3 linked regions of the Saccharomyces cerevisiae S288C genome follow. The protein of the gene in region 1 interacts with the protein of each later gene in a pairwise test. Each region holds a gene or a part of one and is shown in the gene's direction. Other genes may lie near its edges.

Region 1 (9,534 bases):
TCTTGCTAGCCTTTTCTCGGTCTTGCAAACAACCGCCGGCAGCTTAGTATATAAATACACATGTACATACCTCTCTCCGTATCCTCGTAATCATTTTCTTGTATTTATCGTCTTTTCGCTGTAAAAACTTTATCACACTTATCTCAAATACACTTATTAACCGCTTTTACTATTATCTTCTACGCTGACAGTAATATCAAACAGTGACACATATTAAACACAGTGGTTTCTTTGCATAAACACCATCAGCCTCAAGTCGTCAAGTAAAGATTTCGTGTTCATGCAGATAGATAACAATCTATATGTTGATAATTAGCGTTGCCTCATCAATGCGAGATCCGTTTAACCGGACCCTAGTGCACTTACCCCACGTTCGGTCCACTGTGTGCCGAACATGCTCCTTCACTATTTTAACATGTGGAATTCTTGAAAGAATGAAATCGCCATGCCAAGCCATCACACGGTCTTTTATGCAATTGATTGACCGCCTGCAACACATAGGCAGTAAAATTTTTACTGAAACGTATATAATCATCATAAGCGACAAGTGAGGCAACACCTTTGTTACCACATTGACAACCCCAGGTATTCATACTTCCTATTAGCGGAATCAGGAGTGCAAAAAGAGAAAATAAAAGTAAAAAGGTAGGGCAACACATAGTATGAATACAAACGTTCCAATATTCAGTTCTCCGGTCAGAGATTTACCAAGGTCTTTCGAACAAAAACATTTAGCGGTTGTAGATGCATTTTTCCAAACATACCATGTCAAACCTGATTTTATCGCTAGGTCTCCTGGCAGAGTAAATCTGATTGGTGAGCATATAGATTATTGCGATTTTTCAGTTTTGCCATTAGCCATTGATGTGGATATGCTTTGCGCAGTTAAAATTTTAGACGAAAAAAATCCATCCATTACCTTAACAAATGCGGACCCTAAATTTGCTCAGCGAAAGTTTGATCTGCCTTTAGATGGTTCCTACATGGCCATAGATCCGTCTGTGTCGGAATGGTCGAATTACTTTAAATGCGGACTACATGTGGCACATTCATACTTGAAAAAAATTGCTCCGGAAAGATTTAATAATACACCCTTAGTAGGTGCGCAGATCTTTTGCCAGAGCGATATTCCTACTGGTGGTGGACTCTCATCTGCATTTACTTGCGCGGCAGCACTAGCCACAATTAGAGCCAATATGGGAAAAAATTTTGATATTTCCAAAAAAGACTTGACCCGCATCACAGCGGTTGCTGAGCACTATGTTGGAGTCAATAATGGTGGTATGGATCAAGCAACGTCTGTTTATGGGGAAGAAGATCATGCTCTATACGTAGAGTTTAGGCCAAAACTAAAGGCCACACCTTTCAAGTTTCCTCAATTGAAAAATCATGAAATCAGTTTCGTCATCGCCAATACTCTTGTAAAGTCTAATAAATTCGAAACTGCTCCTACAAATTACAATTTAAGAGTAATAGAGGTAACAGTTGCTGCCAACGCCTTGGCGACCAGATACAGCGTGGCCTTACCATCTCACAAGGACAATTCTAACTCAGAAAGAGGGAATCTAAGAGATTTTATGGATGCTTACTACGCCAGATACGAAAACCAAGCCCAACCATGGAATGGAGATATCGGAACTGGTATTGAACGTTTACTCAAGATGCTACAATTGGTAGAAGAATCTTTCTCGAGGAAAAAGAGCGGATTCACTGTACATGAAGCCTCTACGGCGCTAAACTGTTCACGTGAGGAGTTCACTAGAGATTACCTGACAACTTTTCCCGTCCGCTTCCAAGTCTTGAAACTATATCAAAGAGCTAAACACGTTTACTCCGAATCCTTAAGGGTGCTTAAGGCTTTAAAAATGATGACAAGTGCCACTTTTCACACGGACGAAGATTTCTTTACAGATTTTGGCCGACTAATGAATGAGTCCCAGGCCTCTTGTGATAAACTTTATGAATGTTCGTGCATAGAAACCAATCAAATATGCTCGATTGCCCTAGCAAATGGTTCTTTCGGCTCCCGTCTCACTGGCGCTGGTTGGGGCGGTTGCACTATCCACCTTGTTCCTAGTGGCGCTAATGGGAACGTGGAACAGGTACGAAAAGCACTAATCGAAAAATTCTACAATGTAAGATATCCGGATCTCACAGATGAAGAACTAAAAGACGCAATTATAGTTTCGAAGCCTGCCTTGGGTACTTGTTTGTACGAACAATAACACTAAACACCTTCTTGGAACAACCTTTAAATATTAAAAGTTTACTCATACCTCTTACACTCTATAAAGAAACAAGTTGGTGAGTCCAATAGAACCCATTCCAGCATCCGATGCAACCATAGCCCGGTTGATGCGAGTCAGAGTGGCTCCGCACACAGAGGTTATGTGACCATGGTAACCGTACACATTTTTCCACGGCAAGGAAGTGGCGCGAAAGAAGCACCGCCCTCCACGGATCACCCCATTTGGAAAAGAACGGAGACATAAAAAAAAATTACCTTCACGCCAGACTATGTATGACTCGTAGAAATCTAGCATCCGCGGAGCTATTTTAAGTTTCCGCGGATGCCTTTCGATCCTTTCCCAGTCGTCTGGTTCCGCGCACATATGACTAAATGTCCGCCCATTTCCGTTTAAATCCGTTTTCTATTTTCTTTAGGTCTTTCCATTGTATTCCCTGCAACCCCGCTGGGTATTGGTATTACTAATAGTGACTACGCAACATCAACATATAAAACAAATGATGAGTAGTGCCCCTCCCTCACCGCTATCGCCTCACCACTTTTTATGCTTGTATATGCTTGTAGATAAATAAATACCTAACGAAAACAATATATACGAACCTAGTGTATTTGTATCTTTTGTTTTTCAAGTTGAAGTGTTGCGAGGTCAAAAAAAAAAAAGCTCACTGTAGGATATAGGAGTTACTATATCACCAGTGCATTACATTCTCAGTGCATCCATCGTCTTCAACATTGATTATTTTCTCCTTCCATTGATTAGAGTTCAAGCTCCCTGAGAAAACGAAGGTATAGCGGACGTACCCGCAGAGACATAAAAAAAGAAAAACTATATCGAAGACCGAAAGCAGTAAAAAAGTGGATAGAATAACACAGCTACCAAAATACGTAAAGAGAATTCAATGAGCAATATCAAAAGCACGCAAGATAGCTCTCATAATGCTGTCGCTAGAAGCTCAAGCGCTTCTTTTGCAGCTTCAGAAGAATCATTTACGGGCATAACCCATGACAAAGATGAGCAGAGCGATACCCCGGCGGATAAACTAACAAAAATGCTGACAGGACCTGCAAGAGACACTGCGAGCCAGATTAGTGCCACTGTGTCTGAAATGGCGCCAGATGTCGTATCTAAAGTGGAGTCATTTGCAGATGCACTATCCCGTCATACAACGAGAAGCGGTGCCTTTAATATGGATTCAGATAGTGACGATGGGTTCGATGCCCATGCCATCTTTGAAAGTTTTGTAAGAGACGCTGATGAGCAAGGCATCCATATCCGCAAGGCTGGTGTTACCATAGAGGACGTAAGCGCTAAAGGTGTGGATGCGAGTGCCCTAGAAGGTGCTACCTTTGGTAACATTCTTTGTTTACCGTTGACCATCTTTAAAGGTATTAAGGCTAAGAGGCATCAAAAGATGAGACAGATCATAAGCAATGTCAATGCCCTGGCAGAAGCGGGTGAAATGATTTTGGTTCTTGGAAGGCCTGGTGCTGGTTGTTCCTCCTTTTTAAAAGTAACAGCTGGTGAAATAGATCAGTTTGCCGGTGGTGTTTCCGGTGAAGTAGCATATGATGGTATTCCCCAAGAAGAAATGATGAAACGATATAAAGCAGATGTTATTTACAATGGTGAGTTGGATGTTCATTTCCCTTATTTAACAGTTAAGCAAACTTTGGATTTCGCTATTGCCTGCAAAACGCCTGCTCTCAGAGTCAATAACGTTTCCAAAAAGGAATACATTGCATCCAGAAGAGATTTATATGCAACCATTTTCGGTCTAAGGCATACCTATAATACCAAAGTTGGTAACGATTTCGTTAGAGGTGTATCTGGTGGTGAACGTAAGCGTGTTTCCATTGCCGAGGCTTTGGCAGCCAAAGGTTCCATTTACTGTTGGGATAATGCCACTAGAGGTTTGGATGCGTCTACGGCCTTAGAATACGCAAAAGCCATCCGTATTATGACAAACTTATTGAAATCAACCGCTTTTGTTACAATTTATCAGGCAAGTGAAAACATTTACGAAACATTTGATAAAGTCACTGTCCTTTATTCTGGTAAGCAAATTTATTTTGGTTTGATCCACGAGGCAAAACCTTATTTCGCAAAAATGGGTTATTTGTGTCCTCCAAGGCAAGCAACAGCTGAATTTTTAACCGCGTTGACTGATCCAAATGGATTCCATCTGATCAAGCCAGGTTATGAAAATAAAGTACCAAGAACCGCTGAGGAATTCGAAACATATTGGTTAAATTCTCCAGAGTTTGCTCAAATGAAAAAAGATATCGCTGCTTATAAAGAGAAGGTCAATACCGAAAAGACTAAAGAAGTTTATGACGAATCGATGGCTCAAGAGAAATCCAAATATACGAGAAAGAAGTCTTATTATACAGTGTCATATTGGGAACAAGTTAAACTGTGTACCCAACGTGGGTTCCAAAGAATTTACGGTAACAAGAGTTATACAGTCATCAATGTCTGCTCTGCAATAATTCAATCTTTTATTACTGGATCATTATTTTACAATACCCCTTCATCCACTTCCGGTGCTTTTTCAAGAGGTGGTGTGTTGTATTTTGCGCTACTATATTATTCTTTGATGGGACTGGCGAATATTTCTTTTGAACATAGGCCAATCTTACAAAAGCACAAGGGCTATTCTTTGTATCATCCTTCAGCTGAGGCAATTGGCTCCACTCTGGCATCTTTCCCCTTCAGAATGATTGGTTTGACCTGTTTCTTTATCATTTTATTCTTCCTATCTGGGTTGCACAGAACAGCGGGATCATTTTTTACCATCTATTTGTTCTTAACCATGTGTTCAGAGGCGATCAATGGTTTATTTGAGATGGTTTCTTCAGTATGTGACACTCTTTCTCAAGCTAACTCTATCTCGGGTATTCTGATGATGTCTATCTCAATGTACTCTACCTATATGATCCAATTGCCTTCGATGCATCCATGGTTTAAATGGATATCGTACGTACTACCTATCAGGTACGCCTTCGAGTCGATGTTAAATGCCGAATTTCACGGTAGGCATATGGATTGTGCTAACACTCTAGTACCCAGTGGAGGAGACTATGATAATTTATCCGATGACTACAAAGTATGTGCTTTTGTTGGTTCGAAACCAGGTCAGTCTTATGTGCTTGGTGATGACTACCTTAAAAATCAATTTCAGTACGTTTATAAGCACACGTGGAGAAACTTTGGTATCTTGTGGTGCTTTTTACTGGGTTATGTTGTTTTGAAAGTGATATTCACAGAATATAAGAGGCCTGTGAAAGGTGGTGGTGATGCTCTTATCTTCAAGAAAGGATCAAAAAGATTTATCGCACATGCAGATGAAGAATCTCCAGACAATGTCAATGATATAGATGCCAAAGAGCAATTCTCCAGTGAAAGTAGCGGCGCAAATGATGAAGTATTTGATGATTTAGAAGCCAAAGGTGTTTTCATTTGGAAGGACGTATGCTTTACTATTCCATATGAAGGCGGTAAGAGAATGCTTTTGGATAATGTTTCAGGTTATTGTATTCCAGGTACCATGACGGCCTTGATGGGAGAGTCAGGTGCTGGTAAAACAACTTTGTTAAATACTCTTGCTCAAAGAAATGTCGGTATCATTACTGGTGATATGCTTGTCAATGGACGTCCCATTGATGCGAGTTTCGAAAGGCGTACAGGTTATGTACAACAACAGGATATACATATCGCAGAGTTAACTGTTAGGGAATCGTTGCAGTTTTCTGCTCGTATGCGTCGCCCTCAGCATTTGCCTGATTCTGAAAAAATGGATTATGTGGAAAAAATCATCAGAGTTTTGGGAATGGAAGAGTATGCGGAAGCCCTTGTTGGTGAGGTTGGTTGTGGTTTAAACGTTGAACAGAGAAAGAAGCTGTCTATTGGTGTTGAACTAGTCGCCAAACCAGACTTATTATTATTCCTCGATGAACCTACATCAGGTTTGGATTCTCAATCTTCATGGGCCATTATTCAATTATTAAGAAAGTTATCAAAAGCTGGCCAATCCATTCTTTGTACGATCCATCAACCTTCAGCTACTCTGTTCGAAGAGTTTGATAGATTACTACTTTTGAGGAAGGGTGGACAAACTGTTTATTTCGGAGATATTGGTAAGAACTCTGCCACCATTTTGAACTACTTTGAAAGGAATGGGGCAAGAAAATGTGATTCTAGTGAAAATCCTGCTGAATATATTTTAGAGGCTATTGGTGCCGGTGCCACAGCATCCGTCAAAGAAGACTGGCACGAAAAATGGTTGAACTCTGTCGAGTTTGAACAAACAAAAGAAAAAGTACAGGATTTAATAAATGATTTATCGAAACAAGAAACTAAATCCGAAGTTGGAGACAAACCTTCCAAATATGCTACTTCTTATGCTTACCAGTTCAGATATGTTTTAATCAGAACCTCTACTTCATTTTGGAGAAGTCTGAATTACATCATGTCAAAGATGATGCTAATGCTGGTTGGTGGTCTGTATATTGGTTTCACATTTTTCAATGTTGGTAAAAGTTATGTCGGCTTACAAAATGCGATGTTCGCGGCATTTATCTCTATTATCTTGTCTGCTCCTGCAATGAACCAAATCCAAGGACGTGCTATTGCCTCCAGAGAACTTTTTGAAGTTAGGGAATCCCAATCTAACATGTTTCACTGGTCGCTGGTGTTGATCACTCAGTACTTGAGCGAACTTCCCTATCATTTATTTTTTTCGACAATTTTCTTTGTCTCATCGTATTTTCCATTAAGAATCTTCTTCGAAGCGTCAAGATCTGCGGTGTACTTTTTGAATTACTGCATTATGTTCCAGTTATACTATGTTGGTCTTGGCTTAATGATCCTATATATGTCACCGAACCTTCCATCCGCTAATGTTATCTTAGGTTTGTGTCTGTCATTTATGCTTTCTTTCTGTGGTGTTACACAACCTGTCTCATTGATGCCTGGCTTCTGGACATTCATGTGGAAGGCTTCCCCATACACATATTTTGTTCAGAATCTGGTCGGAATTATGCTGCACAAAAAACCAGTCGTATGCAAAAAGAAAGAACTAAACTACTTCAACCCACCAAACGGCTCAACGTGTGGAGAGTACATGAAACCCTTTTTGGAAAAAGCTACTGGTTACATCGAAAATCCTGATGCTACGTCAGATTGTGCATACTGTATTTACGAAGTTGGAGATAATTATTTGACACATATCAGCTCTAAGTATAGCTACTTGTGGAGAAATTTTGGAATATTTTGGATTTACATTTTCTTCAATATCATTGCTATGGTTTGTGTGTATTACCTCTTCCATGTAAGACAATCTTCCTTCCTAAGCCCCGTATCTATACTCAATAAAATTAAAAACATAAGGAAAAAGAAGCAGTAATGTGGGCTTCAGATAACTTAACATTTTGTGCATTCATCTGCCTTTAATTCTTAATTCTCATTTTACACTATAGAAGAAGACACGAGTACATCTCGTTTCACTTTTATACTGACATTCATATAATTAACAATAAGTATAGTTTATAATAGATACAAAAAAAAAGTCTTGTATTACCATGTTAATAGTTACATTGTGTATAACTCTCGTAGTTTTCAAAAGTCAAGTCTTGTTGAGTAAAAAAGTTTATTTTACCCTTGGGTTTCGACTCAAAATATTGGATTACGATCTAAGCAAGGTGTTGCAAGTACAAGCTAAACGAAAAGAATAAGACAAAAAAACTGAGGCTCCTCAAACTGGTCACCAAAATTGAACTTCAAATTTAGTGTTTCTACATTTTTTCTATTTTGTTTCATTTTTATATCCCTTTCATATGATTAACAAAACTTGGTAAATTATCTGGCCTGTCAACCCTTACCTGTCCTGTCCCTTCTTTAGACAAAAGAAAATAAAAAAATTGGACACAGGAAAACAACAGCCTCCATACCACAGTTTCTGTGTCTTATTCTATTTAGGAAGGTCATTCTATATTACTCAAAGGAAAGACATCCAGTAGAAACAATAGTGTTGCTAAACGGTTAACTTGCCCACTAATGTCTGCTTATATTTGCAAATCACTATTGTGGCAAGTCATACCCTGGAGCTTTGTGATTGAACAACATATACTATATTGCAGCAGTATTTTTCAGAAATAATATTCGAAAGAAGTGAGAACAAGAAATGACCACGATAGATTACAGCTGACCAACTTAGAAAATGAGTAAACTTATTTTTGTCTTAAGAAGTGCATGCAGCGACCTCTCCCAATTACCAAATTGTAATTTTTTATTATTCTTTTTTTCTGCATAGTTCATTCGACAGCTTGGTTGAAAAGAGTGATAAAAATTTTCTGTTTTATGAAAAGTTTTCATAACTCTATTAAGGGTTGCACTATAAGAACATTTCGCAATAAAGCAACCCTTATCCGGACCCTACATGTTCCGTAAGTCCTGCCTTATTTATCGTAACGGTATTCATCTTACAGGAATTTTTGAATATAGATAACGTTAGTTTTGATAGATTGGAACAAATGGGAAAATAACAATTTAGAAGCGCTTTCCTCAGCGTATCTGAATTATAAAACAACTGCGCATATTGCTAAGAACTGCACTGAAGGCATGAATTGTCTATTCCGTTAGAAATATAATTATTTACGAAAGCATCGCGCAGACGCAATTTTTTTAACATTTTTTTTTTTTCAAGTACTCTGGAAAAGTTTTCATGAAGATCATGAATACGTTACACTACTATTATTATTGAAAATAATATTTCTTTCCTATCAGCAATCGCTTACATATTCATAGTCATTTACTAGGGTATATACCAATAATAATGTCCCGTCCACAAGTTACTGTTCACTCTTTGACTGGTGAAGCTACTGCCAATGCCTTGCCATTGCCAGCTGTCTTCTCCGCTCCTATCCGTCCTGACATTGTCCACACTGTTTTCACCTCTGTGAACAAGAACAAGAGACAAGCTTACGCTGTTTCTGAAAAGGCTGGTCACCAAACCTCCGCTGAATCCTGGGGTACCGGTCGTGCCGTCGCTCGTATTCCAAGAGTTGGTGGTGGTGGTACCGGTAGATCCGGTCAAGGTGCCTTCGGTAACATGTGTCGTGGTGGTCGTATGTTTGCTCCAACTAAGACCTGGAGAAAGTGGAACGTTAAGGTTAACCACAACGAAAAGCGTTACGCCACTGCTTCTGCTATTGCTGCTACTGCTGTTGCTTCTTTGGTCTTGGCCAGAGGTCACAGAGTCGAAAAGATTCCAGAAATCCCATTGGTT
Region 2 (6,608 bases), on another chromosome or scaffold:
GCTTTGCATGGTCTATTTTTATGATTGTTGGTATGACGTTCGTTCCTGAATCCCCACGTTATCTGGTAGAAGTGGGAAAAATTGAAGAGGCCAAGCGGTCCTTAGCAAGAGCTAACAAAACCACTGAAGACTCTCCTTTAGTAACTTTAGAAATGGAGAACTATCAGTCTTCTATTGAAGCTGAGAGATTGGCGGGCTCTGCTTCTTGGGGGGAATTGGTTACTGGTAAGCCCCAGATGTTCAGACGTACACTAATGGGTATGATGATTCAATCTTTACAACAGCTGACAGGTGACAATTACTTCTTTTACTATGGTACTACAATTTTCCAGGCTGTTGGTTTGGAAGATTCATTTGAAACTGCTATTGTTTTGGGTGTTGTTAATTTTGTTTCGACTTTTTTCTCGCTATATACCGTCGATCGTTTTGGTCGTCGTAATTGTTTGTTATGGGGCTGTGTAGGTATGATTTGTTGCTATGTCGTCTATGCCTCTGTTGGTGTTACCAGATTATGGCCAAACGGTCAAGATCAACCATCTTCAAAGGGTGCTGGTAACTGTATGATTGTTTTCGCATGTTTCTACATTTTCTGTTTCGCTACCACTTGGGCCCCCGTTGCCTATGTCCTTATCTCTGAGTCGTATCCCTTAAGAGTACGTGGTAAAGCAATGTCGATTGCAAGTGCCTGTAACTGGATTTGGGGGTTCTTGATCAGTTTTTTCACTCCATTTATTACTTCAGCAATCAATTTCTATTATGGCTATGTCTTTATGGGTTGTATGGTGTTCGCATACTTTTATGTGTTCTTCTTTGTTCCAGAGACAAAGGGCTTAACATTAGAAGAAGTCAACGAAATGTATGAAGAAAATGTGCTACCTTGGAAGTCTACCAAATGGATCCCACCATCTAGGAGAACAACAGATTATGACCTAGACGCTACTAGAAATGATCCGAGACCATTTTATAAAAGGATGTTCACTAAAGAAAAATAATCTCTTGTAGTGTAGGATCAACTATTTTCGCATACTTGCAATGTTCAGCATTGCACCATTTCAAATTTTAATATTAATATTAATCGTTTTCGTTCATATGTTCATTCATAGTTTACAAATAATGCAATCATATGCAGAGATATTTTGTCCGTGGTTAATAGGGCTGCCTGTTATTCCTTTAATTCAACTAAATTACGTATGTCTAATAATATCAAAATCATCATGACGTTTTTGTTTTTTTTCTTTATTTTAAGTAGGATCAAACCAGGGGAGAAAGGGTTGCTACGCCTAACAACAAGAACTTGTATATCGTTTCTTGTTACTTATACTTTTCTGCCCACTTCTCTCTTACAACTGCTCGAGCTCATCCTTGGTAATAAAACAGTGAGGACGGTTACTCGAGGTTTCAACAGGGGAAAATAAATTTATATGATGAATCAAGAGCCCCGTTCTTTTACCGTATTATCCTTCATACTACATACTAGGGAAAGAACTGAAAACTCCGCTACCTGCTGTAACAGCGCATAATAAAAAGCAAGAATATAGACAGTTACTGTTGTTTACGTTCTTTGATGACATCATTCTCATCAGACATACAGAAACACATCCTTTTTGTCTACCCCGTATTTATTCCAACTTCAAAGTATAGGTACCGTCCGGTTATACTCTCATATACTTTGTGGCAGTTTGCTTCTTTAAACCTTGTTAACCCAGAATATTTTCAGTGCAAAAAGCTTCCGATCCTCAAATACAGTGAGAGAAAAAGCAAACTTGTCTTCATTATTTTTCTGTTTGGCCCTGTCACGGTTCTTTTTATGGCCTTCTCGAAGGATATCCGTAGTCAATTATATTCACGTAGTTGCCAAAAGTAATTTTTGGAAAACTATTATTCCTCCGAGAAAACCTCACACAGAAATCCTTGCAGGTCTCATCTGGAATATAATTCCCCCCTCCTGAAGCAAATTTTTCCTTTGAGCCGGAATTTTTGATATTCCGAGTTCTTTTTTTCCATTCGCGGAGGTTATTCCATTCCTAAACGAGTGGCCACAATGAAACTTCAATTCATATCGACCGACTATTTTTCTCCGAACCAAAAAAATAGCAGGGCGAGATTGGAGCTGCGGAAAAAAGAGGAAAAAATTTTTTCGTAGTTTTCTTGTGCAAATTAGGGTGTAAGGTTTCTAGGGCTTATTGGTTCAAGCAGAAGAGACAACAATTGTAGGTCCTAAATTCAAGGCGGATGTAAGGAGTATTGGTTTCGAAAGTTTTTCCGAAGCGGCATGGCAGGGACTACTTGCGCATGCGCTCGGATTATCTTCATTTTTGCTTGCAAAAACGTAGAATCATGGTAAATTACATGAAGAATTCTCTTTTTTTTTTTTTTTTTTTTTTTTTTACCTCTAAAGAGTGTTGACCAACTGAAAAAACCCTTCTTCAAGAGAGTTAAACTAAGACTAACCATCATAACTTCCAAGGAATTAATCGATATCTTGCACTCCTGATTTTTCTTCAAAGAGACAGCGCAAAGGATTATGACACTGTTGCATTGAGTCAAAAGTTTTTCCGAAGTGACCCAGTGCTCTTTTTTTTTTTCCGTGAAGGACTGACAAATATGCGCACAAGATCCAATACGTAATGGAAATTCGGAAAAACTAGGAAGAAATGCTGCAGGGCATTGCCGTGCCGATCTTTTGTCTTTCAGATATATGAGAAAAAGAATATTCATCAAGTGCTGATAGAAGAATACCACTCATATGACGTGGGCAGAAGACAGCAAACGTAAACATGAGCTGCTGCGACATTTGATGGCTTTTATCCGACAAGCCAGGAAACTCCACCATTATCTAATGTAGCAAAATATTTCTTAACACCCGAAGTTGCGTGTCCCCCTCACGTTTTTAATCATTTGAATTAGTATATTGAAATTATATATAAAGGCAACAATGTCCCCATAATCAATTCCATCTGGGGTCTCATGTTCTTTCCCCACCTTAAAATCTATAAAGATATCATAATCGTCAACTAGTTGATATACGTAAAATCATGAATTCAACTCCCGATCTAATATCTCCTCAGAAATCCAATTCATCCAACTCATATGAATTGGAATCTGGTCGTTCAAAGGCCATGAATACTCCAGAAGGTAAAAATGAAAGTTTTCACGACAACTTAAGTGAAAGTCAAGTGCAACCCGCCGTTGCCCCTCCAAACACCGGAAAAGGTGTCTACGTAACGGTTTCTATCTGTTGTGTTATGGTTGCTTTCGGTGGTTTCATATTTGGATGGGATACTGGTACCATTTCTGGTTTTGTTGCTCAAACTGATTTTCTAAGAAGATTTGGTATGAAGCACCACGACGGTAGTCATTACTTGTCCAAGGTGAGAACTGGTTTAATTGTCTCTATTTTTAACATTGGTTGTGCCATTGGTGGTATCGTCTTAGCCAAGCTAGGTGATATGTATGGTCGTAGAATCGGTTTGATTGTCGTTGTAGTAATCTACACTATCGGTATCATTATTCAAATAGCCTCGATCAACAAGTGGTACCAATATTTCATTGGTAGAATTATCTCTGGTTTAGGTGTCGGTGGTATCACAGTTTTATCTCCCATGCTAATATCTGAGGTCGCCCCCAGTGAAATGAGAGGCACCTTGGTTTCATGTTACCAAGTCATGATTACTTTAGGTATTTTCTTAGGTTACTGTACCAATTTTGGTACCAAGAATTACTCAAACTCTGTCCAATGGAGAGTTCCATTAGGTTTGTGTTTCGCCTGGGCCTTATTTATGATTGGTGGTATGATGTTTGTTCCTGAATCTCCACGTTATTTGGTTGAAGCTGGCAGAATCGACGAAGCCAGGGCTTCTTTAGCTAAAGTTAACAAATGCCCACCTGACCATCCATACATTCAATATGAGTTGGAAACTATCGAAGCCAGTGTCGAAGAAATGAGAGCCGCTGGTACTGCATCTTGGGGCGAATTATTCACTGGTAAACCAGCCATGTTTCAACGTACTATGATGGGTATCATGATTCAATCTCTACAACAATTAACTGGTGATAACTATTTCTTCTACTACGGTACCATTGTTTTCCAGGCTGTCGGTTTAAGTGACTCTTTTGAAACTTCTATTGTCTTTGGTGTCGTCAACTTCTTCTCCACTTGTTGTTCTCTGTACACCGTTGACCGTTTTGGCCGTCGTAACTGTTTGATGTGGGGTGCTGTCGGTATGGTCTGCTGTTATGTTGTCTATGCCTCTGTTGGTGTTACCAGATTATGGCCAAACGGTCAAGATCAACCATCTTCAAAGGGTGCTGGTAACTGTATGATTGTTTTCGCATGTTTCTACATTTTCTGTTTCGCTACTACCTGGGCCCCAATTGCTTACGTTGTTATTTCAGAATGTTTCCCATTAAGAGTCAAATCCAAGTGTATGTCTATTGCCAGTGCTGCTAACTGGATCTGGGGTTTCTTGATTAGTTTCTTCACCCCATTTATTACTGGTGCCATCAACTTCTACTACGGTTACGTTTTCATGGGCTGTATGGTTTTCGCTTACTTTTACGTCTTTTTCTTCGTTCCAGAAACTAAAGGTTTATCATTAGAAGAAGTTAATGATATGTACGCCGAAGGTGTTCTACCATGGAAATCAGCTTCCTGGGTTCCAGTATCCAAGAGAGGCGCTGACTACAACGCTGATGACCTAATGCATGATGACCAACCATTTTACAAGAGTTTGTTTAGCAGGAAATAAACTAAACAAGCTCAATATGCATATTTTAATGACTTATACAGTATTTAATTTCTCAGTAAATTTTATAAAGGTGATATTATATTGGTGTTAAAACAAAATTCTTGTCAAATTCATAAACAGATGTTCTTTTCTTTGCTAGTTCTTGACCTTCACCAAGGAACAAGAAATTTCATTCTGGCACTCTTCCGAGGAAAAATTTTATATGATATAGTATGGGTTAATACCACATAGGCGCTATACATAGTTCAAACGCCCGCTTATGATTTCGGAAAAATGTCAAATGAATAGAAATTGACAACGCTGCTGCTTCAACATCTAGTAGTGTTACTTAAGCCTGTTAGGATGTTGTTTTTAGGTATTTATAATTACTAGCAATAATTTCCATTAACAGATAACCGAGTCGATCTCAATGGATATACAGTTGCCAATCATATGTATTTTCTGACTGGCACAGGGAGACACGAAAAACACTTGCTTGATAAGAGGTGAAGCAGTAAAGAAAAGACGACAAGTAAAAAAAAAATGACGAGAAAATGCACGCTACCATCGAAAAGGCGACCTTTCCAATCCACTAAGAGTTACTTTAAAATCGTTGAAAAAGCATTATGACACTATGTTTGGCGCCAATAAGAATACTACGTCATTATGCATGGAGGAGAACCGAATATTTTTTTTTTATTCCAGCCCTCTTCATGTAAATGTTCTGATTGATAAAAGAATGAAAAGCCCTAGGGTTATTAAATCCAAAACTTAGGCTGCCAACCTGACATTGTAGACAAGACACGACAGCGGTAAGAGAAGATCTGAACAGCTGACGCAAGTACCCCAGATATTTTCCAACTTTTACGGGAAAAAAGACTAATAGGAAGGAGGTGGGGAATCATGCTTTAGTTTCAACTTTGAGGTTTAGCTTTCAGACACGAAAACTAGAAGGAACATTATGTTGTTTCACTTTCATTTTGGAACAGAACTACGCTACCGCATCAATTTGCGGGAATTTTGATTTGGCAACGCGCACGTATTTTCTAGCGATGCGTAAAAGTAAAACAGTCAAGATAGTCTCATCCTAGATGGTGCAAAGTTAGGACCGAAAAGCCAGGTTCAACGATGTTGCCAAATAGTCGTACCTGAAAAGCTTAGGTTTTCCATTTATGCGAATATCTCTATGCAAAATAAATTTTAAGTACCTCAAAATTTTTTTGCACCGATCAAGATATAATAATCAGATGAGAATGAATAAACAAGACGCAGATGAAGGCTGGGCCTCCAACGAAACCCAGTACACTGCAGTAATTTCCACCAAGAAACGCTTGGCCTTCGTAAAGTCACTTGCAGCAGCATAGCGGAAACAAGGAAGAAAAATATCCGAGTCAGCTGGTTCCGGGATTTTTTTTTGCCCAATAGGAAAAACAATGCCCAAACCGGAACCATTTCCCGTTTTTTCTTTCGGTTTATCCGCTTTCTTCCAAAAAAATCCGTACAAAATGGAAAAACAATGTTTATATAATATTCCACATTTTTCCTGGCCTGCGTCTCTTTCTGTGGAGAAGAAGATATTTCCCTGAGCAGTTTTTTTTTCTGACCCCTTTTTTTTTCCCACCCCCCCCGGTTTTTTTTCCATGGGGCCCCATATTCCCCCGCCTGCAGGAAAACTTGGGGAAAGAGGAAAAACACTTCGGATAAAAACGGTCAAGAAGCTCTTCGACGATTTAGTGCCACCTTCATGAAAAATTCCAGAGTTTTTTCCAGCTGCTTTGATTTTACAGTCCATTATTCGGCGTCTAACGATTCTGATTAAGAAACAACGGAGGAAAACTCAAATTCTAATATAATATTTTTAAGTTTATGAAGGTGGGGTGG
Region 3 (6,903 bases), on another chromosome or scaffold:
CGCACATGAGAGGAACATCGGCATCACACAGCCCCAGACCGTTTAGGCCATGTGCGGATTGTACGTGTTCTCCAGGCTTACTGTCTAGGCAAGGTCGTAGAGCCTCTCTATTTTTAAGACAGTTAGAAAATTCAAGGAGGTCCTCCAGCATGCTTCTCAACGAGTTGAAGGGCGCTGGCGGAGGTAGCAGTGCTGGAAATGGGTCTGTTTACTCATGTGACTCTCTATGCGCTGTTAACAGGGAAGTTAACACTACTGATAGATTGTTGAAGTTGCGTCAGGAGATGAAGAAACACGATTTGTGTTGTTATATTGTGCCCAGTTGTGACGAACATCAGTCCGAATATGTATCATTGCGAGATCAAAGGCGCGCCTTCATTTCAGGGTTTTCCGGATCGGCCGGTGTAGCCTGTATCACCAGAGACTTGTTAAATTTCAACGATGACCATCCGGATGGGAAATCCATTTTGAGTACTGATGGAAGATATTTCAATCAAGCTAGACAAGAACTAGATTATAATTGGACACTTTTGAGGCAAAACGAAGACCCAATCACTTGGCAAGAATGGTGTGTCAGAGAAGCTTTGGAAATGGCCAAGGGACTTGGCAATAAAGAGGGAATGGTGTTGAAGATAGGTATTGACCCAAAACTTATCACTTTCAACGACTATGTTTCTTTTAGAAAAATGATTGACACTAAATATGACGCAAAGGGTAAAGTGGAGCTGGTTCCCGTGGAGGAAAACTTAGTTGACAGTATTTGGCCTGATTTTGAAACTCTACCTGAAAGGCCTTGTAACGATTTACTACTGTTAAAATACGAGTTTCATGGTGAAGAATTCAAAGACAAGAAGGAAAAGTTACTGAAAAAGCTGAATGATAAGGCTTCCTCTGCGACGACCGGTAGGAATACTTTCATAGTAGTTGCGTTGGATGAAATTTGTTGGTTGTTGAACTTGCGTGGATCCGACATTGACTATAATCCAGTTTTTTTCTCCTACGTGGCTATTAACGAAGACGAAACCATTCTTTTCACCAATAACCCCTTCAATGATGACATATCGGAATATTTTAAGATAAACGGTATTGAAGTCAGACCTTACGAACAGATATGGGAACATTTAACAAAGATAACTTCGCAGGCTTCTTCTGCGGAGCATGAATTTTTGATTCCTGATAGTGCATCGTGGCAGATGGTTCGTTGTTTGAACACCTCAACCAACGCTAACGGTGCAATAGCTAAAAAAATGACTGCACAAAACTTTGCGATAATTCACTCACCCATCGATGTTTTGAAATCTATCAAGAATGACATCGAAATAAAAAACGCACACAAGGCGCAGGTCAAAGACGCAGTATGTTTAGTGCAGTATTTTGCATGGCTGGAGCAGCAATTAGTGGGGCGCGAGGCACTGATAGATGAATATCGTGCCGCAGAAAAATTGACCGAGATTAGGAAAACCCAAAGGAACTTCATGGGCAATTCCTTCGAAACAATATCCTCCACAGGTAGTAACGCCGCCATCATACATTATTCGCCGCCCGTAGAGAACTCTTCGATGATTGATCCTACCAAGATATATCTTTGCGACTCCGGTTCGCAATTCTTGGAGGGTACAACTGATATAACAAGAACAATTCACTTAACAAAGCCAACCAAAGAAGAAATGGATAATTACACACTGGTACTTAAAGGTGGCTTAGCCCTAGAGAGGTTGATTTTTCCCGAAAACACTCCCGGGTTTAATATCGACGCCATCGCTAGGCAGTTTTTATGGTCCCGCGGGTTAGATTACAAACATGGCACAGGCCATGGTATCGGATCATTTTTAAACGTTCACGAAGGACCCATGGGTGTCGGCTTTAGGCCACATCTGATGAATTTCCCCTTAAGAGCGGGTAACATAATAAGTAACGAACCAGGTTATTATAAGGATGGTGAGTATGGTATCAGGATTGAAAGCGACATGTTAATCAAGAAGGCCACTGAGAAGGGTAACTTCTTGAAATTCGAAAACATGACTGTGGTTCCCTATTGCAGGAAGTTGATCAATACTAAGTTACTAAACGAAGAAGAAAAAACACAGATTAACGAGTACCACGCAAGGGTATGGAGGACAATAGTGCATTTTCTGCAGCCTCAGAGTATTTCATACAAGTGGCTGAAAAGAGAAACAAGCCCACTATGACTTCGAGGCGAGCGGGGCGCAATACAATTAATGTTAGTATTTATTCTAAGTAGTTTCTTTCTTTTTATTTAATTTGAGTGATAACAATAACAACAATAATGACTAAAAGGTGAAAATTGAAAACATTACCTTCATTTTTTTACGGCCGGAGAGGGGTAGGTACACTTAACCCCGAGCGCTTTTAGTGCCAAAAAGAGTTAATGTGCGTAGTCGGATTTTAAACGACCATGCATGTACAGCCCCCTAGTGATTTATACTGATGCCTCATCAAGAAATTTTTTCATCCAGGGTCCCTGCTCGGCGAACCTTTCCGCAAGAGTCACAAAAATCAATCTTATAACCAGGCACCAGTAGTACTGCCAAGCTTGGACTACATAGCCAACGTAAAGACAAGGAGTCTGATTTAGTATTTCTTTTTTGCCAGCCAGTATTTTCTGCGCAGGATAGATTATTTTAAGAGCCGAGAATTCCTTATGCGGGCCCGGTCACAACGGATTATAGGTTCCGCCAGACCCCGTTGCTTTGGTTCCATGGAGCAGGAGCAGGATTTTCCGTGGAAAGAGAAGCACCGAGCGAAAAGCGGATACGGAAGGCGGATGCGGAAACGGATGCGGACGCGGAAGGAAGGAAGGAAGCAAACCCTTCCGTCTATGTCGCTATGAAGCCGTCTCACAGTAGAGCCATTCGAGATTTCCGTCCGTCGGTACACAGAAATCTTCGTATCGGGAGTTTTACTTTAAAAGGAAACGATCGTAGGAATTCCCTAAAGAAAAAGGAAGAAAAATTTAACGTTGAACATTGTCATTTTCTTTTTTTTTTTTATGTGTGCAGAATATACTATCAAGTAATGTGTTCTATATATAAAGGGTACCTCATTTGATCTTGATGTTTCTTTCTGCTCGTATGCCTTGAGTCACCAGTTTTCAAAAATAATCTTGGTCTATAGAAGAGAAAAATCCAATAATCTGAAATTGGTTCTTCGCACCCTTGCAACGAGATCATATACTAAATATCGGGAACTCTTTATTTCTGGATCTTTTATCAGTCACTTTTTTTTTTAGTCAAAGAAGCAAGAGAAAACTAGACAGAGACAATGTCGGATCATTCTCCCATTTCTAATAAGGAAAATCATCTGCTGCCATCAGACTCGTCAAGAAGCTCATCCAGCGATATGCATTCGACGGGCACCACGGGAACCACAGGCGTCGAACCTGTAGATTTCACCGGTGAAGGTGCCAAATACACAACTGCTACGGAGGGCAATGGTGGTGCAGATTTAGCGATTCAAAGAACGACGACTATGAATTCTGCTGCAGAATCAGAGGTTAATATCACGAGAAGATTAACTAAAATCCTTACTGGGTCTGTTAACGAGCCTGACCGTGTAGAGGTTGATTATACCAATTGTGCGCCCATGGGTGGTGACAGACCTTACCCTCCATCGTTGCCGAGCAGAGACCTGTACGAGGTTACTTTTGATGGTCCTAACGACCCACTACATCCATTTAACTGGCCCATGAAGAAGAAAGTGCTGCTATGTCTGGTCTTATGTCTGGATTCTATTGCCATTGCTATGTGTTCTTCCATTTTTGCCTCTGCAGTGCCGCAAATCTGCGAGATATACCACGTCATCGAAGTTGTCGCCATTTTGGGTATCACGCTTTTTGTTCTTGGGTTTGCGGCCTCACCGGTTATCTATGCTCCTCTTTCTGAATTGTACGGTAGAAAGGGTGTTCTGGTTTTATCTGCGTTTGGATTTGCCCTTTTCCAATTTGCTGTCGCTACTGCTGAGAACCTGCAAACTATTTTCATATGTAGATTCTTTGGTGGTTTTATCGGGGCAGCACCCATGGCCGTCGTCCCCGCCGCGTTTGCCGACATGTTTGATACTAATGTTAGAGGTAAAGCCATTGCGCTATTTTCTCTAGGTGTTTTTGTAGGCCCCATTTTATCGCCTGTCATGGGTTCTTATATCGCACAAAGAACTACCTGGAGATGGTTAGAATATGTTGTCGGTTGTTTCGCTTCCGCAGTTTTCGTTGCCATCGTATTGTTCTTTGAAGAAACACATCACCCTACCATTTTGGTTAACAAGGCCAAACAGATGAGAAAGCAAAGTAATAACTGGGGTATTCATGCTGCTCATGAAGACGTGGAGCTATCCATCAAAGACATTGTCCAAAAAACTGTGACGAGGCCTATCATTATGCTTTTCGTGGAACCATTGCTACTATTCGTGACTATTTACAACTCTTTTGTCTACGGTATCTTGTATTTGTTACTGGAAGCCTACCCACTTGTCTTTGTGGAGGGTTATGGGTTTACTGAAAACGGTGAGTTGCCATACATCGCCTTGATTATCGGTATGATGGTGTGTGCTGCTTTCATTTGGTATATGGACAACGATTATTTGAAAAGATGTAGAGCCAAGGGGAAATTAGTGCCCGAGGCCAGATTGTACGCAATGGTCATTGCAGGTACCGTTTTCCCTATTGGTATCTTATGGTTCTGTTGGACGGGCTACTATCCTCACAAGATTCATTGGATGGTCCCCACAGTAGGAGGGGCCTTCATCGGGTTCGGTTTAATGGGTATTTTCTTGCCATGTTTAAACTATATCATTGAATCGTATCTATTGTTGGCAGCTTCTGCCGTCGCAGCAAACACTTTCATGAGGTCTGCATTTGGTGCATGCTTCCCATTGTTTGCAGGATATATGTTCCGTGGCATGGGTATCGGTTGGGCTGGTTTGTTATTAGGTCTATTTGCCGCTGCGATGATTCCCGTGCCTTTACTATTCTTAAAATATGGTGAATCTATCAGAAAGAAATCCAAGTATGCTTACGCCGCTTAAGAAAAAGAAAAGCAGAAATCATGCTCTTTCTATATTTGCATTTTTTTATTTCATTGTTATTACTCACCCTGCCCCACGCTCAAAGGGCTCGATAACGACATAGCATTATAGACACTGTGCAGCGTAAAGCTGACATATAAAGAAATTACAAAAAAAAATTAAAAAAAAAAAAAAAAACAATCAAAAAAGACACACAACTACAGAACAAAGGAAATCTTTTTCTATGCACAAGCACAAGAGTACTTAGAGAGTAGTGATATCCCCTTTTTTTTCTACTATTTTTTTTTTTCCCATTTTTTTCCTCCAAGACTCCTCTTATGTGGTTGTTATGTATAGCCCATAGTTACTAAATAAAACACTAATTAATGATTAATAATCCCTCTCTAATAAGAAATAGATAAAAGCTATTGTTCTTCTCATCGCCGGTTCTCGGCGTTGTCCGTACCCTTGGCCGAAACTCGGGCGGGGGCTTATTAGTCATACCCTCAGATTTCATTGGTCAGATAACAGTCACCCGGTAAATGCCCGTTTAATGACTTCTTTATTTTGGATTAAAATTGACAGGGAATTTCAACGGAATAAAGGAAAGAGATTGAGATGCTTTTAATTCATAAAGGAAAGGGAAAGAGGACAGGAAAGCAAGGAAGAGTAATGGAATTTTGCAAATATTTGTAAATCCTTTAGAATTACTAAGAAACTGTTATTTATTGACATTATTTTACTCGTCTTATTTATTTATTTATACATTTGGCCACCATTTTTGCACTCGTACGAAAGACCATTTTAGATTTTTTTGATTTGGTAGTATAACAAACGATCGGAACAATAACGTAACATAATGATAAACACAGGAAGAAGCAGGAATTCAGTACTGCTGGCACACAGATTCCTTTCAACTGGAGGATTTTGGCGAGGCGGTACGAATGGCACAATGTCTCGCACAATCAACAACGTAAATCCTTTCAAATTAAAATTCATACCGAAGACAGTGCCCGCAGCTGCAGACTCTGTCTCTCCAGATAGTCAACGTCCAGGTAAGAAGCCCTTCAAATTCATAGTTTCCAATCAGAGCAAGAGTAGCAAGGCTTCTAAAAGCCCGAAGTGGTCGAGCTACGCATTCCCTTCGCGTGAGACCATCAAATCTCATGAGGAGGCCATCAAGAAGCAGAATAAAGCTATAGACGAGCAAATAGCTGCTGCAGTATCCAAGAATGACTGCTCTTGCACAGAACCTCCCAAGAAAAGAAAGAGGAAATTGAGACCAAGAAAGGCGCTGATCACCCTGAGTCCGAAGGCAATCAAGCATTTAAGGGCACTGCTAGCTCAGCCGGAACCTAAATTGATTAGAGTTAGCGCTAGAAACCGTGGATGTTCAGGACTAACGTACGATCTACAATATATCACCGAGCCGGGGAAATTCGATGAGGTAGTAGAACAAGATGGCGTTAAAATTGTCATCGATTCAAAGGCGTTATTCAGCATCATTGGAAGTGAAATGGACTGGATCGACGACAAGTTGGCCTCTAAGTTTGTCTTCAAGAATCCAAACTCCAAGGGCACATGCGGTTGTGGCGAGAGTTTCATGGTTTAAAAACCTTCTGCACCATTTTTAGAAAAAAAGAATCTACCTATTCACTTATTTATTCATTTACTTATTTATTTACATATTTATCATACATATTAACATTGAACCCTCCATCGTGGTAGTGTTTGCTGTTCCTAACTTTTCTTTCGTTGTTCTTGTAGATATATATTTTTCCAGAATTTTCTAGAAGGGTTATTAATTACAATCTTAAACGTTCCATAAGGGGCCGCGATTTTTTTGTTCAATTTTCAACAGGGGGCCCATCTCAAAGAACT

The links. Proteins that work in one complex are often made in the same cells at the same time.
Region 2: the proteins of SNQ2 (region 1) and HXT1 interact in binary tests that used the Saccharomyces cerevisiae proteins (3 or more experiments, as listed by UniProt).
Region 3: the proteins of SNQ2 (region 1) and TPO1 interact in a protein complementation assay, tested with the Saccharomyces cerevisiae proteins (one large-scale study listed by BioGRID).

The regions. Positions count from the first base shown.
Region 1 is NC_001136.10:462,772-472,305, forward strand, and holds SNQ2 (ATP-binding cassette transporter SNQ2), read left to right. Parts: upstream 1-3,147; coding exon 3,148-7,653; downstream 7,654-9,534. Other genes in the region: transcriptional regulator GAL3, read left to right, coding at 663-2,225; YDR010C (uncharacterized protein), read right to left, coding at 2,280-2,612; 60S ribosomal protein uL4 RPL4B, read left to right, coding at 9,082-9,534. UniProt on the Saccharomyces cerevisiae protein: Could be an ATP-dependent permease. Confers hyper-resistance to the mutagens 4-nitroquinoline-N-oxide (4-NQO) and triaziquone, as well as to the chemicals sulphomethuron methyl phenanthroline when present in multiple copies.
Region 2 is NC_001140.6:289,053-295,660, reverse strand, and holds HXT1 (hexose transporter HXT1), read left to right. Parts: upstream 1-3,035; coding exon 3,036-4,748; downstream 4,749-6,608. Other genes in the region: hexose transporter HXT5, read left to right, coding at 1-992; AHT1 (Aht1p), read right to left, coding at 5,971-6,519. UniProt on the Saccharomyces cerevisiae protein: Low-affinity glucose transporter. HXT1 is as well involved in the transport of mannose.
Region 3 is NC_001144.5:81,522-88,424, forward strand, and holds TPO1 (polyamine transporter TPO1), read left to right. Parts: upstream 1-3,282; coding exon 3,283-5,043; downstream 5,044-6,903. Other genes in the region: FRA1 (aminopeptidase P), read left to right, coding at 1-2,189; Fe-binding Fe/S cluster assembly protein ISA1, read left to right, coding at 5,882-6,634.